2 linked regions of the Ovis aries genome follow. The protein of the gene in region 2 binds, or shares a complex with, the protein of the main gene of each other region. Links are inferred from orthologs where the notes say so. Each region holds a gene or a part of one and is shown on either strand. Other genes may lie near its edges.

Region 1 (7,321 bases), on a different chromosome or scaffold from region 2:
TGCTTGGCCTTTTAAAAGTGTTTTATAATGCATAAGTATTTTTTTAATTTCAAATATACATAAATTCAGATGTTTCCAGAGTCTTAATGCTTTTGAAAACTCAGATAACAGACAGACCATTTAATTCATATTTATTTCACATTTGATCTGTAAACTTTTTGTTAAAAAAAATCCACTGTCATTAGCAACATGTGCTGACATTAATTTTTCTTTAGTGAAATATGAGCGCAGGCCTTAAAGAGTCTCTGTCTAAAACATAGGGCAACTTGGATGTAAACAAGGTCTCCGCCCTTCTCCCTTGACTTTGGGAGTTTATCAATGACTTGATCTCAACCAGAAAAACAGGGAGGAAAAATGGACAACACTTTGATACTTAAGAGCTCTTGGGGCAAGAACTGTACAGTTGGGCAGGCCCATTTGTCTCTTCACACTGTTTACTTTGGGCAAATTGTATCAGGTTTGCTTCTTCCACATAATTTCCACCTCTCCGTGTCTAAAAACAGCAGGTAAAAGATTTCCCACAGTCAGCACTCTGAAGGAGGGAGTGGTAACACATACATCCAAGATGGAAACATACATATTTTTCAAGCAGTGGCCCCAGAGGAAGGGAGGAAGGGGACACTGGAAAGAGAAGGTTTTAAAGTGCAGTACTGGAGTGAAAAAGGGTGCATCCGAGAATAATGGCTTTATACACAGGGCTGCTGCAAGGCAGAAAGGTTCATTTACTTCTGTCTTGATCCATCTTTGTAATATTTACATAGGACAAGGCAATTATGCTGTTAGGCACAGGGGTGGGAAAATGGACAGAAATGTTTTCCCCCTCAGGAAATCTCATCGCAAGTCCAGTCCCAAGGGACAGTCACCAGTTGCTGGTGAAGAGGACACAGAGAGGGTAATGACACCAGAAAAGGGCTCACTTTGCAAAGAGGCTCGCCCTGAACTAGACACAATGAGTCTGCCTGGAGAGCACCTCCAGTGGCCAGGATTCAAACATCAAAAGCCAAGAGACATTTGGGACCCCACCCCACCCCCAAGTACTATCAAAAATAGTGTATATTTACAAGGGGTGGGGGGACGGGAGGGCCTGCAGGGCTGCCCTGAGCATTTGTTTAAAAATAAGAGTTGGGGAAGGGGGAAAGCAATTAGCCAGGGCTGGGTAACCCCCACCCCCAACCCATCTGTTAACCCTTTGGGAGCCATCCATCCCCTCTGGGCTCTCGTGCTTGCTCTGAACGACTGTGACAGCTGGGCCCAGGGGAGGTGAAAATATTTTTAGGAAACAATACTGATTTGGGGCTGCCCAAGAACCCAGGAAGATGGCTCTGAGTGAGGAGCTGCCCTAGCAATAATGAGGGGGTTGGAGTAGGGGTATGGCCCTCCCAGCCAGTTCTTTTCTCAGGTAGGAGAGCGCAGATGCCCGCAAGAAGCGGCAGAGCTATCCTGGGGCCAAGAAACTAGGAACAGGCTGGACCCGGGTTTTGGCAGGACCACGTAGACGCGCCCCCTGGATCCCAGCTGCCTGCAGTCAGCGCAAGTCTGTTCTCCGGGAGCGGACTCCACACTCACACGATCCGCTTCCTGTCCCCCCGGCAGAGGATCTTCTTGAAGGCGCGGCGGAAGTCGTGATTGAAGATGGTGTATATGACCGGGTTCAGCGAGCTGTTGCAGTAGCCGAACCAGAAGAAGAACTTGAAGAGCGTGGGCGGCACGGAGCAGCCGATGGCCGTGAGCGTGTAGGTGAAGAAGAAGGGGAACCAGCACACCACGAACACGCCGATGACCACCGCCAGCACGAAGGTGAAGCGCTTCTCGCGGTTCTGCCGCCCGCGCCAGCGCGACGCCTTGGCGGCCCCGCCAGGGCGCTCCTCCGCGGGCCCCGCCGCGGGTGCCCCCGGCCCCGTCGCCCCCGGCCCGCGCCGCGGCAGGCTGTCCCCGGGCTTCACCTGGCTCGCCCGGGCCTTGCCCTTGGCCCGGGGCCCGCGCTCCGACCTGCGGGACCCCGGGGGCCGCTCAGCGTGCTCAGACGAGGAGCTCTCCTCTAGGTCCAGCGCGTCGGCGTCCGGCCGCCCTGCGGGCGCGGGCTCCCCCGGGGCACCATTGAGCTGCACCTGCAGCGACTCGACCTCGGCGCCCACGGGGCCCACGCCGCCGCGCTCCGGGCCCAAGCCGTTGGGCCTGCGCTCGGCGCCCCCTGGCAGCTCAGCGGCGGCGGCATCGGGCCCCCGGCGACTGGGCGGCACGCGGGTGCGGCGCTTGGCGATCTGGTAGATGCGCACGTAGACCAGGATCATGATCAGGCAGGGCGCGAAGAAGGAGCCGATGCTCGACGAGATGACGTACCACTTCTGGTCGTTGATCTCACAGCGCGGTTCGGCGGACGGCTGGCCACTCCTGCCTCTCTTCTCGAAGGAAATGAGCGGGGGGAAGGAGATGACGGCCGAGATGACCCACACCGTGACGATGATGGCCTTGATGCGGCGTGGCGTGCGTTTCAGGTTGTACTCTATGGCCTGGGTGATGGACCAGTAACGATCCAGGCTGATGGCGCACAGGTGCACTATGGAAGACGTGCAGAAGAGCACGTCGAGCGCCAGGTAGATCTCACACCACGCCTTGCCGAAGTACCAGTAGCCCATGACCTCGTTGGCCAGCGAGAAAGGGATGACAAGCGTGGCCACCAGGATGTCCGCCGAAGCCAGAGACACCAGGAAGAGATTCTGGGGCGCCTTGAGCGCGCGGCTTGTGAACACAGCAATGATGACAAGCACGTTACCGAACACCGTGAACAGCATGAGCAGGCCGGCCAGGCACACCAGCGTCAGCGTCACCTGCAGGGAGTAGGGGGTGGCCCGGGCGCCGCCCCCCGGGGCCTCGGTCCCGTTCCAGCTCGCGTTGCCCGCGTCCGGCTGCAGGGAGCCCATGGGCGCGAAGCTGCCCTCGGCCAGCGGCTGCTCCTGGCGGAACATGAACGCGGGTGCCCACTCGCCTGGGCCTGCTGCCAGCTGCCTTCCGGCCCGGTGCCCGTGGGTCCTCCTCTTCCTCTCGCGCCCCGCTCGCCCCGCCGCACCTCACATGGAGAAGGGGCCTCAGGGAGGCCGGGCCCCGAGCTGGGGGACCGCTAGCGGCCCATGGGCCCGGCTCCCGCGAACCGCACCCGGTCCGCGCGCTTCAGGCGCTCGGGGTCGGCGCCTTCTCGCTCCCAGCTCCTAGATACAGCCAAGTTTTATTTCTAAGCGGCGGGAGAGAGTAGGTCGAACCGATGGGGAAAGAGAGATTTATTCTTCAAGAAGAGAGAACAAAAATCATCGGTGGCCTGATGACTTGGAAAGATAACAGGAAATTAAATATATCTGTTTATATATCTTTGACTCTTGAGCCTGAGCGAAAGCAAGAGGTCTTACCGTGTGCGGGGCCCGCCCCCAACCCAGGAGGCAGCCGAGGGGTGCTGATGCTGGCTTGGGGTCCTGCGACTCTCTCCTTACATCTCCGAAGCGAACACCGACTCTCTCGCTTCCCCCAGACGCGGCGGGGCCGGCGGGGCCCGGGTTGGGGCCACGGTGCGGACTCTGCCGCCTCTCGGAGCGTCGCGGGACTTCCAAAGTTGAGTGCCCTGCTGGGGCTGGGGCGCAGCGCGTGGAGCTCGGAGGCGGCGGCGGCGGTGTCGGTGGGATGATGGGTGTGGGGGCAGCATGAAGGCGCCCCCGTCCTCAGGCAGACCCGGGCGGGTGGGCGATCGGCCCTCCCGGAGCCGAGACGGAGGCAGGAGGTCTCCTGGGCGTCGGCCCGGCGAGCTTCGTGCGCTGAGCGCGACGGGACAGGCTGGGGTCCGAGGGCAGCGTGAGTTTGGGGCAGGAGAGCAGGGCTGGGGAGAGAAAGGTGCTGGGGGTGGCCGAGCGGAGGCGCGCCGGCTGCTAGGCGTCTGCACTGAAGCCCGGGCCGCTGCTTCTCCGCCGCACTAGCCGTGGACTGGTTTTATAGCCCCAGGATCAAGCCGGCGTTGCTGAGCAGCCGGCGTCAGCCCCCACGTGGGAAACCGACCCTCCCCCGCCCCTTGCACCTCCCCTCCGCGGGTCTAGCGCCCTCGCCCAGCGCGGGACCCACTGGAACCCTCCCCCCCCCCCTTGGTGAGACGGGCCCTTTGGGGAGGCGGATACCCTGAGCGAGGGATTTAAAGGGCGTGCCCGGGGAGTGCCTGCTGGGAATTGGCCAAGCATCTCTGGGCGCGCCGAGCAGAACACATTGGGCACCCGGGAGTGGCCACATCGAGCTGAGTGGGACTTGGGAGGAAAGGGTGTTGAGGTCCCCCGGATGAATCGGGAGAAGCAATTACCGGTACAGGTCGCATCCGGAACAACCCCGCCCTGGGCCGGGCCACACTTTTCCTGCAAGTGCTCCGGGCGGCGGGGCGAGTGGGGCTGGTGAGAGGAAGGCGCACGTTCAGATCCAACCCCTTTGGCGGAAAGGGAGGCACCCCCCACACACACGCGCGGAGTGAGCTCCGCCAGAGTTAAGAGCTCCACTGTGGGGAGAAGCGGCCATTTGTGGTCCCAGCTGCAGAGCTGCTGCGAGACCCGAGCAGCCTGGGTCTGAGCCGGCGCCCGCTAGACCACGGTGAGGAGGGGTCCTGGAGCGGAGGCGGCGCGCGGCGGCAGCGCGAGGGCGCACTGACACCTGCCGGCCGCACGCCGGCACCGCTGCGAGTCTACCCGCGGGCGCCCGGAGCCTACTCCCGCCCCTGCGACTGCCTTCTCTCATCTCAGGGCAAGTTTGGGTCCAAGCTCGGGGACAGAGAACCCAGATTTTTTATTGCACTTTGTCATATTGCAGAAATCTTCCTAATGCATACACTCTTGTGTGGCTCCCTCTCCCCGGCGAGAGTGAGGCTTGGGCTGATGAAGACACATCAGGAAGAGGGCTCTGATGCCTGCAGAGCTGGCAGCCCACCCTGCCGATACAGGGCAACCCACGTTTCTCGCAGATCCCGGAGGCCTGGATCCTGCCTGACGGGTTGCTCTGCTCTGGTCTTCTCTGAACCATTGTGTCTTTGTTGAGGCCGAAAGCTAGACTTCGCCCCCCACCACATCTGCATTTCAGATGCACGCACACCAGTCTTTCAGTAAGACGAGGATGCTGCCCGAGAGAAAAGAGAATGTTTTCCACGTTCCCTCTGATAGGAATAGAATGGAGAGGGGGTGAGTGCAGTGTTCCTCTGCATGCTCGGTGTCCTGACATCTATTTTAACCGTTGCTAGAGTACCGGCTTGTGTTATCTGCACTTTTCAAATAAACAGTAGGCAGTTTAAGGGCAAGGCCCAGGAGGATGGGAACTGTCAGCAGGAGAGAGATGAGACCTAAAGAAAAGCTATCTTATTTAAGGGCCTACTAAACCAAAATACCTTATGTAGTCAATCAAGCTGGAAGTTCTAAGGATGGAACAGATTGCTTCTCTGCCCAGCAGGGTTCAGGCTCAGGACTGAGGACTAAATTAAGGACCTTGAGCATCAAGGCTGAGCATCACTTTCAACACCAGCTGATGTCTACAGTCTCCGCCAGTGATACAGTAATCAGTGTGGTTGCTCTTGATGTAGATAGTCCTGAAGTCTGTGCTTTTCAAAGTATTTCACAGGTGTCCCCATGCAATCATTCCTCCAACTGGATGATCTCCCTTTCCAGATTTAATTCTGGACATCAGCTGGTGTTGAAGGTGATGCTCAGCCTTGATGCTCAAGGTCCTTTCTAATCCCCTTTTCTGGAGCACCTGAAGAAAGTTAAGGCAATCTTTCCTCCCTCTGTTAAGTCCATTTTCCATCTTCTAACCAAGTCTCAGCTCTGCATCTCCTGAGAGAAGAGATATGGAGAGATTGCATGAGACTCAGTTGGAAATGTGGTCACGCTCACCTCTGCACAGAAACTAAGAGCCCCAGACCTCAAGTATGAATGCTAAGAGAGACAAACATGAAAGCCCATGACAATCTGGGCTTCCCTGTGATGGTCACAGACCTTAGGGCCGGAGTTTTCATAGATCATCACCGCCTCTCTCCACACCAGCTGCTGACACACATCTCTCCTTCCCATCTCATTTCAGGAGCAAAAAGGGAAATGAAAATAGAGGCCACAGGGCTTTCTTTTCTTGGAATCTCTGCTGCTAGCCTGTGTATAACATCTCATGTCACATTTTCTAAATGCTTCCCAAACAGCCAGTCAGCAGGCAGTCAGCTTCTTAATTCCTGGGTTTGGAGTCTTTTCTCCTAAAATGGAAACAGGCTTTTCAAGGAGCTAGGGTCTTAGAGTCCAATTCAGGACAATTATTAATAATAATGATAGCTGTCTTTTGTTGAGTTCCTAGTACACAACATGTCTAAGGCTAGCTACAGAGCCTCTTTATATGCAGAGTTCTTCCTCTTAACATATGTGTTTGTCTCTCTGTTGTGTTTAACTCTTTGCAATCCCATGAGCTGTAGCTCACCAGGCTCCTCTGTCCATGGAATTCTCCAGGCAAGAATACTGGAATGGGTTGCCGTTCCCTTCTCCAGGGGATCTTCCTAACCCAGGGATCAAACCTGGGTCTCCCACAGTGCAAGCAGATTGTCTGAGCCACCAGGATAACACATGTATCTATCACCAAAGGCTCTGGCTCCTTAGCTTGACACTCAGTGTTAGTATCTCTGAGCTTCAAAAGGCTATGTGGATGCTATTAGTTTTTTGATAGAAGATTTAGTGCTGTGCTTGCTGAGTGAGACAGCACTGAGCAGAGAGATATCCACAAAGACAATAATTTCTATCCAGGCCTGTATATCTGCATTGCTTGGGAAGGTGAAATAGACTTACTAGTGCTCCACCAAGGTAATTTTGATTCATCAGGGCTGTGATGGAATGCAGACTGTGTATTTTAACAAACCTCCTTGGGAGATGCTAACATGCACACTCAGTGAAGATTCACTGCTCTAAGTAATAAATAATAAATCTCATTGGGGGCAGGCGTGATGAGCAATTGCCTTGGGGGGGGGGTGCATAAAGGTGGTGTCTAAGGAAGGGAGAGCTGCCAAGGATGGGCTCCAGATTAAGAATAACTGTCCTGGTCCTTCTGGGTCAGCTAGGAGGGTGTCATATTCTTCCAGGAACCAGAGGCGTCACAAACAGTTGAGAGCCACTGTAAAGATGGAAGTTGGCATTTCTGGCCTAAGGAGAAGTCACTCTAGGGCACACAAATGGAGGTCCACTATTATTTCTACTATTAATAAAAATACATACTACAGAGGATCTGAATAGACAATTTTCCAAAGACAGTATACAAAATGGGCAACAGGCACATGAAAAGATGT
Region 2 (6,655 bases):
CGTCTGCTACGTGAAGGGTCCAGAGCGAGCGCAGGCACTCTTACAGCCCCCAGCCCCAGGGGTCCTCAGAGCCGCCCAGAGGCCTCTCGTCATGGGCTCCACTTTACAGAGGAGCAGGTGGGGTGGCTGCCACACTCCCATGGTGTCAGCAGTGGCGCTAGACCCCGGGCTATGTCCACCTGGCCCTGGACACACAGGCAGGGCGCTATTCTCACTGGCACCATGGCAAGGAGCCGCCTCTGCAGGCTCTTGTCGAGTGGTGATGCCAACACCCGAGCTCTGGAGAGGCTGCCGCTCTCTCCCGGGTGGAAAGGAACCCAGGAAGAGCCCATTCGCAACCCCACATGCTGTGGCTTCCTGTCCTCGAACCCAGCCTTTGTGAAGAAGGGCAGGGAAATGGGGGAAGAGCTGAGGGAGAGGATGGGACAGAGACAGTGAAAGCAGGAGGGCGAGGAGGAAGGTGCTCCAGAATGGGCTCTGCGCCAGAGCGAGAGCTGGTGAGGAGCTGGCACAGGGCGGGTGGGCCGGCAGGCCGGGAAGGCCGTCTGAGCGTGAGGCCCAGCACCTGCTGGGTTCACTCGAGACTCGCAGGCCACAGAGCTTGGGACCCCGTGGCCGCCAGACCCGCTCCGACATCCTCTGCTCTGCCCATGCTCCGGAGGCCAGTGCGCGCCCCTTCCTGAGAGGGCCTTGGGCCTTGGGCCTGAGCCGGACGGGTCTCCGGGAAGAGGCCTGGGGCCCTCGACACTCCACTGCTTGGTTTTCTTTCAAACTCACAGCAGGGTCAGCTTCCTGCACCAGCCCTGCTTCTCACTCCCAGGAGCAGCAAGGAGAAGAGATGAGCCACACGGAGCTCAGACCACACTCCCAGGAGCAGCAAGGAGAAGAGATGAGCCACACGGAGCTCAGACCACACGCTGGCCCAGCGGGCTGTGAACAGTGGGTCCAGAAGCAGGGTCAACAGTGGATCAGTGAGTGATGGGCTGGGGTGGTCTCTGTGTGCGGTGCCTTATGGGGGCAGCAGGAGCCGAGCTGGGCTTCGGGACAGTCAGTAGGTCCAGGTCTGGGGGTCTTAGACACCACGGCTCCTGAGGCCACTGAGAACAGTGCCAGCGTTAGAAAGAGCTGCACACCTGGGGTCCCAGAGCCTCGCCCCGTAACACAGCAGGGTTTGTGGGGTTCCGCTGATGCCCCGCTCGGAAGTGTTCCAGGTACCGAAGGAGAAAAGGCAAGGGCGACAGGTCAGCATGCGGCGCGAGTGCTGACGGCCCACCCGGCCGGTGGCTCTGGCCCCATCTAACCATGGCACCGTCACCGCATAAGCCCGACCTCTCCGAACGGCGGCGCCTCTTCCCATACCACCACACCCCAAAGCCCAGCAGACCTCAGTAGCAGCCCCGTGGGACCGGCAGGCAGGACCGACGACGAGACAGACCCGGAAAGAAGATAGCCTTGCTCAAGGCCCACCCTGACAAGCCCAGTCCCAAAACCTCAGCGCCAGGGGTTTGTGCCTGCCTGCATCACACACAGGAGCTAACGATCGCCAAGGATGTGACCCCACGGCCCAGAAGCCCCACCTCAGCGGGTGCTTGTCTCCTGAGACCCCACCAGGCCCACCTCTCTGTGGGCAGCTCAGTGGGACCCCGGCTCAGGACAACCCTCAGGGACGACACAACCACCAGCCCAGGGCTGCTAAGCCAGAGACGGTTCCAAGTCCTTGAAGATTCTCACCCCACTGCCCACACCCCACCAGGCGGGTATGATGGTTACACCCCTAAGATAGAGAGGGTGCTCCCTGAATCCAGCAGCAAACCAAGGCCAGGCCTAGAGAAAGGCAGCACCCCCTGCAGAGAGGGCCCCCCTCTGAAGTTCCCCTCAGCCTGGCAGTTCTCCGAGGCCCCAGACTGAAGACGCAGAGACGGAAGGTGGGAACCCGGGCTGGCGCCCTCCAGGGGAGGGGCCTGTGCCCCCCACCCTGTCACTCACCATGAGCCCTGGCCCACAGCCCAACCCTCTGCCAGCCCTGCCCACTGCTCAGGGAGGGCTGTCGGAGCTAAGAACTGCTATTTCTGTCTTACATAAATTCTTGCTTGACTGCACCCTGATTTCATTTAGGATTTGCTTAACTTGGTTCTGGCCTGACGGCCTCTGCGACTCTGCTGTGTTTACTGAAGAGGCCCTTGCTGCCCGTGCCCCGGCATCTGCACATAGCCTCTGGCAGGGGGCCCAAGGCTGCCTTCACTGCACTGGCATCATGAGGCATCTGGCTGAAGTCAGGAGAGAGGTGGGAACAACCAAGCCAAGGACGGACCCCCACCCCCGCAGCTGGCTCTGCCCGAGAGGCATCGTGGGCCACTGAGGCCGGGCGGGCTGGGGCCACTCACCGTGGTCTCGTCTTCGTGGAGCACCTGGTCATAGCCGCTGAGCGCGACGCAGAAGATGATGGCCGTGACGTCCTCGAAGCAGTGGATCCACTTCTTGCGCTCAGACCGCTGGCCCCCGACGTCAAACAGCCTACCAGGAAGACAGGAGAGCTGGGGGTGGGGGTAGGGAGACCCCAGCAGGTGTGGGGACACTGGTCGAGCTGCGGGGTCAGGGAGGAAGGCTGCTGTGCACACAGCAAGCCTCCCAAGGAGCCTCGCTTCGGGCTGAGGACCGAGCACGGCACCCTCGGGGTGGGGTGGCCGTCACTGCTCTGCCCCGGGACTGGGTGGTGCCCCACACAGCGACGCCAAGACCCGCCCCTGCATCTCAGCGCTGTTGCGAAGGGGTGACCTCGGCTGGACATGCCTTCGCAAGCCTCCAGCTTTCTGAGCATGTCTGTTCACGTCTGTGGTCCGGGGAAACCCCAGAGCAGCCTGGGAGGCACAGAGGGAGGTGGGCAGGGACCTGCAGCTCCCACGTGGAGGCCCAGTGAAGCAGCAAGGGGTTGAGTGCAGGGTGCCGGCAGGAGTTGGGGTGAGACCAACGTCGGTCTGTAGACGTCTGGCTGTCAACGTCTGTCTCTCTGCTCTGTGCCCGCCCTCCCTCACCCCTTCTCAGCATCATCCCCTGGGGCATGAGAGCTGTCAGGGGAGATGGTGGCAGAGGGGATTTGGTCCTGGAAGTGCGAGGTCAACCTCACATCTAACGCCCTGAGTGAAGATCCCAGGCCTGACGCACAGCTGCCAGGGTGGGCAGGGCCCCAACCCGCTGATAGAGGAGAACAGCCACAGGCCGAAGCCCACAGCGGACCTAGAGCAAGGACACAGGTCCGGTCCTCATCCCGTCACCACCTCCCTTGGACCCTGCTTCTCCATCTGAAATACTGGGCCCTGGTGATGGTCTCTGAGGCCCCTCCACAGCACATACTCTCAGCTGCTGCGGGCCAGGCGCCCCCAGCCCAGCTCTACACCCTCTGCCCTGATCGGTAAGTGGGAGAGACTGAGGGACTAGAGCAGGCAGGGGCTGGGCCTCAGGCTGGGCAGGGCCAGGCAGTGGCCTCACTCAAGTCTACTGGTCTACTGTCCTGGCCATCCTGGCCTCTCCTCCTGCTCCACCCAACACCCAGAAACCACACCCAGGAGGCAGCTGGAGGCAGCTAGGGGCACCCAGGCCTCAGGGCATGCAAGCTGCCCCAGGTGGTGCTATGACACCCTGGCAGGGCCTACGGTGCTCAGACCCTGGGCCTGAGCTATGTTCTGTGCTCGGGAACAGACTTGCTCCTCCAGGTCTCAGTTTCCCCTATATACCTGGAGAGGGTGGGCCAGCTGATCTCCAAGCCCCTTCTAGTTCTGAGATGACATGGGTCCTTGGGTCACACAAAACATGTTGCTTAGGTTCGCCCGCTCTTATCCCCCACGCCTCCATGCCTTCAAAGACCACCTGGGTGATCCACCATCCTCCCCGTCAGAAGTCAGGCAGGGACAGGACTACCCTCCTTTGTCCACTTGAATCCTCCCTGTATCTCAGAGCCCCTCTCCAGGATGCTTCTTCTAGGAAGCCTCCCTGCTCACCACAGCCCCTGACCTTGGTGGCAAAGAGGGGTACACACAGGTCCCTTCTCGCATCCAACTGCTTGTCCCAACTTGAGAGCTCCCTGAGACAGGAATGCTCCAGATGAGCTGAGGCTGGGAGGCAGGGGTCGCCCGTGTCTTAGCACCCTCTCCAGGGATGGGGAGTCTCCCTGGCCCTCACCTGAAGTGGAGGTTCTTGAACGTGAAGTGGGTTTCTACGATGCCGGTGGTTTTGACCCTGGTTCGGAGGATGTCCTGCTCGGTGGGCTGGTAGTCGGCGGCCCCGATCCGGTCCAGGCTGTCCAGGTAGCTGGGGATGGCAGCACACGGGGACTGTGGACCAGGTGTGGGCACTGCCCTCCCAGAGTGCCAGCCCCGACCCAAGCCAGGGAGGGACGGCATCACCTGTCCAGGGCCAGGTGTGGGGCGGAGCTGAGGAAGAGACGCCCGCGTCCCGGCCTCAGGCGCTCAGAGCCTCTAACTCAGACCAAGGGCTTCGCACACAGTTCAGCCTCACTCAGACAAGTCAGGCTTTTCAATGAGACTAATGTGTTTATGGGCTTTCAGGTGGTGCTAGTGGTAAAGAAGCTGCCTGCCAATGCGGAGATGTAAGAGACTCGGGTTTGTTCCTTGGGTCGGGAAGATCCCCTGGAGGAGGGCATGGCAACCCATCCTAGTAGTCTTGCCTGGAGAATCCCACAGGAGCCTGGTGGGCTACAGTCCATAGGCTCCCAAAGAGTCGGACATGAATGAAGCAGCCTAGCGTGCACACACGTGTTTCTAACACTGTCATTTCTTCATCTTAAAATAACGATGGGCTAAAGTTAGCTTCTAGTCTTTCTGCGCATTATCATGTTCCACCCTTAATTTCTTGAGGTAAATGTATTATTTCCTAGATTAGAAAACTCAGGTTTTCTAATGAAGGTGAGTGCCTGGCCCAGCCCTGAGTCAGGGTTTTGGATCCCACCTCCTAACAGTACCCTGCAGTGCTTCCCAGAGGCCCTCTGCGCCTCCACCCACCTCTCACACTCCTCAGGTTTACCAGGGGGCTGTCGCATCTTCCCATCTGATGCTCCTGGGAGGGAGGCCCAGAAGCCACACAGACAGGCAGGGGCGGGGCCTCGCTGGTACCTTAGGCATCATGGCCCCTGCCATGCCATCACTTGCCCTGGAGACAGACCTGGCCTGTGCATTTGGTCCTCCAAGGCCACACGCTGGGAAAGCTTTAGGGGTTGGTACGGGTTAAGGTTTGAACCCTAAGTCAGGTTGAGATCCAGGAAACTAGGAAGCAGAGAGCTCGCTCAGACTGGCAGGAAGATTCAGGGACCCTCAGGGCCAGCTGGGCAACCCATCCCTGTGCAGGGGGAGTCATATGCAGCCCACAGGGAGCAACCGTGAGGGTCTGAGTCATGGCGTGATGTGGGAGTCCCAGGCTGTGCACAGAGGCGCCCAGCTTCGTTAGCACCCACTCTAGACCCACTGGCAGGGCGGGGCTGGGAAGGGCGGATGCCTCCACTAAGGAGGGTGTCCACTGGTGAACCAACAATCCAAGCTGCCTCAAATCCTTATAAGAATTCTCCCTAGGTAAACAGAGCCGATGTTGGTCCCAGGTTCAGGGAAGGTGAGCTTGAAGCCACACTCCTAGAAAGGGGATGACACTGCTGGGGGATCAAGACTGGGTCTACCCGACTGCAGAGCCAGTGCTCTTACACAGGTCTCCAGGCCTTGTCTCCGCCGCGAAAGGAGGGAGGCTGAGACGGCAGAGCAGACCTGAAAGCCCTGGCCGCCGTGGAGCCTCCTCGCCAGGCCCATGGGCATCTGGGCGGCCTCCAACCTCAGCCTGGAGCAGGTCCTCCTAACCTCTCTGTACGTGCCCCTCCTCTGCCCAAGCTGCCTTTGCCCAGAAGCGGTGCTGGTTTCAGAAGCCTCCTCCTGTCATCCCCAGCTGGAGACCTGGGCTGGGAGCCTCTGGTCTTGGCCCCGTTCCAGCTGGGGAACCCTCCTTTAGGCAGACAGCCTGGCCCTCCATCTCTCTGGCTGAGCCTCATGCAGGGAGGCAGCCACCGCAGGGTAGAGGGTGTGCTCAGGGGACTGTGCACCTGCTGTGTCTACTGCCTGCTGACTGTCCTGGGTGCTGCGAGGCACAGGCCCCACCTCCTGGAGCCTCTGTTCCTGGGTGGTGCGCATGAGGCAATTAGCAGAGCAGTAAGCTGTACAACATGTCAGGAGGTGGTAAGTGTCAGGAGGGAAGGCTCAGACTATCATAGGGGGAGGCTGGCTGGGGGCTGCTGTTTGGTATCAGGTGGCTGGTGAAGGCTCGTGGAGCAGGATAACATTCGAGAGGAGACGGAGGGCAGTGAGGGGATGAGCCTCTCCTGGTCCGGCAGAAGGACCAGTGGGCGCAGAGGCCACGCCCACCGTGGAGGAGGAGCCGGGCCTGCAGGCTCTGGACAGGAGTGGAGGAGAGGCTGTACATGGGGCAGGGCAGGGCAGGCAGTGAGCACTGAGGCTGGAGAGGGTGACGGAGGTGACGGCACAGCACACAGGCCCCTGAGCTCAGTGTGAGCGTCTTGGCTTTCGCTCTGGAGGGCTCTGAATGGAAGAGTGCTTTACAGGCACATCTCCAGTGGGGACCCGAATCTGGGGAAAAATGACCCTCC

What was found.
Region 1: the proteins of GNAO1 (region 2) and ADRA2A are in contact, whole or in part, in a cryo-EM structure (PDB 7W6P), measured with the Homo sapiens proteins. The link is inferred for Ovis aries from reciprocal best matches to the Homo sapiens genes GNAO1 and ADRA2A. Residues at the interface, in NP_066268.1 of Homo sapiens: Ile28, Lys32, Lys193, Asn194, Leu195, Asp218, Phe336, Thr340, Asp341, Ile343, Ile344, Ala345, Asn347, Leu348, Gly350, Cys351, Gly352, Leu353, Tyr354; in NP_000672.3 of Homo sapiens: Arg77, Arg146, Ser149, Ile150, Ala153, Ile154, Asn157, Leu158, Arg160, Pro162, Ile234, Ala238, Arg241, Arg383, Arg386, Phe387, Val390, Leu391, Phe444, Asn445, His446.

The regions. Positions count from the first base shown.
Region 1 is NC_056075.1:31,103,399-31,110,719, reverse strand, and holds ADRA2A (alpha-2A adrenergic receptor), read right to left. Parts: upstream 3,950-7,321; 5' UTR 3,402-3,949; intron 3,281-3,401; 5' UTR 2,967-3,280; coding exon 1,563-2,966; 3' UTR 115-1,562; downstream 1-114. UniProt on the Homo sapiens protein: Alpha-2 adrenergic receptors mediate the catecholamine-induced inhibition of adenylate cyclase through the action of G proteins.
Region 2 is NC_056067.1:23,770,291-23,776,945, forward strand, and holds part of GNAO1 (guanine nucleotide-binding protein G(o) subunit alpha), read right to left. Parts: intron 4,306-6,655; coding exon 4,177-4,305; intron 2,515-4,176; coding exon 2,385-2,514; intron 1-2,384. UniProt on the Homo sapiens protein: Guanine nucleotide-binding proteins (G proteins) function as transducers downstream of G protein-coupled receptors (GPCRs) in numerous signaling cascades.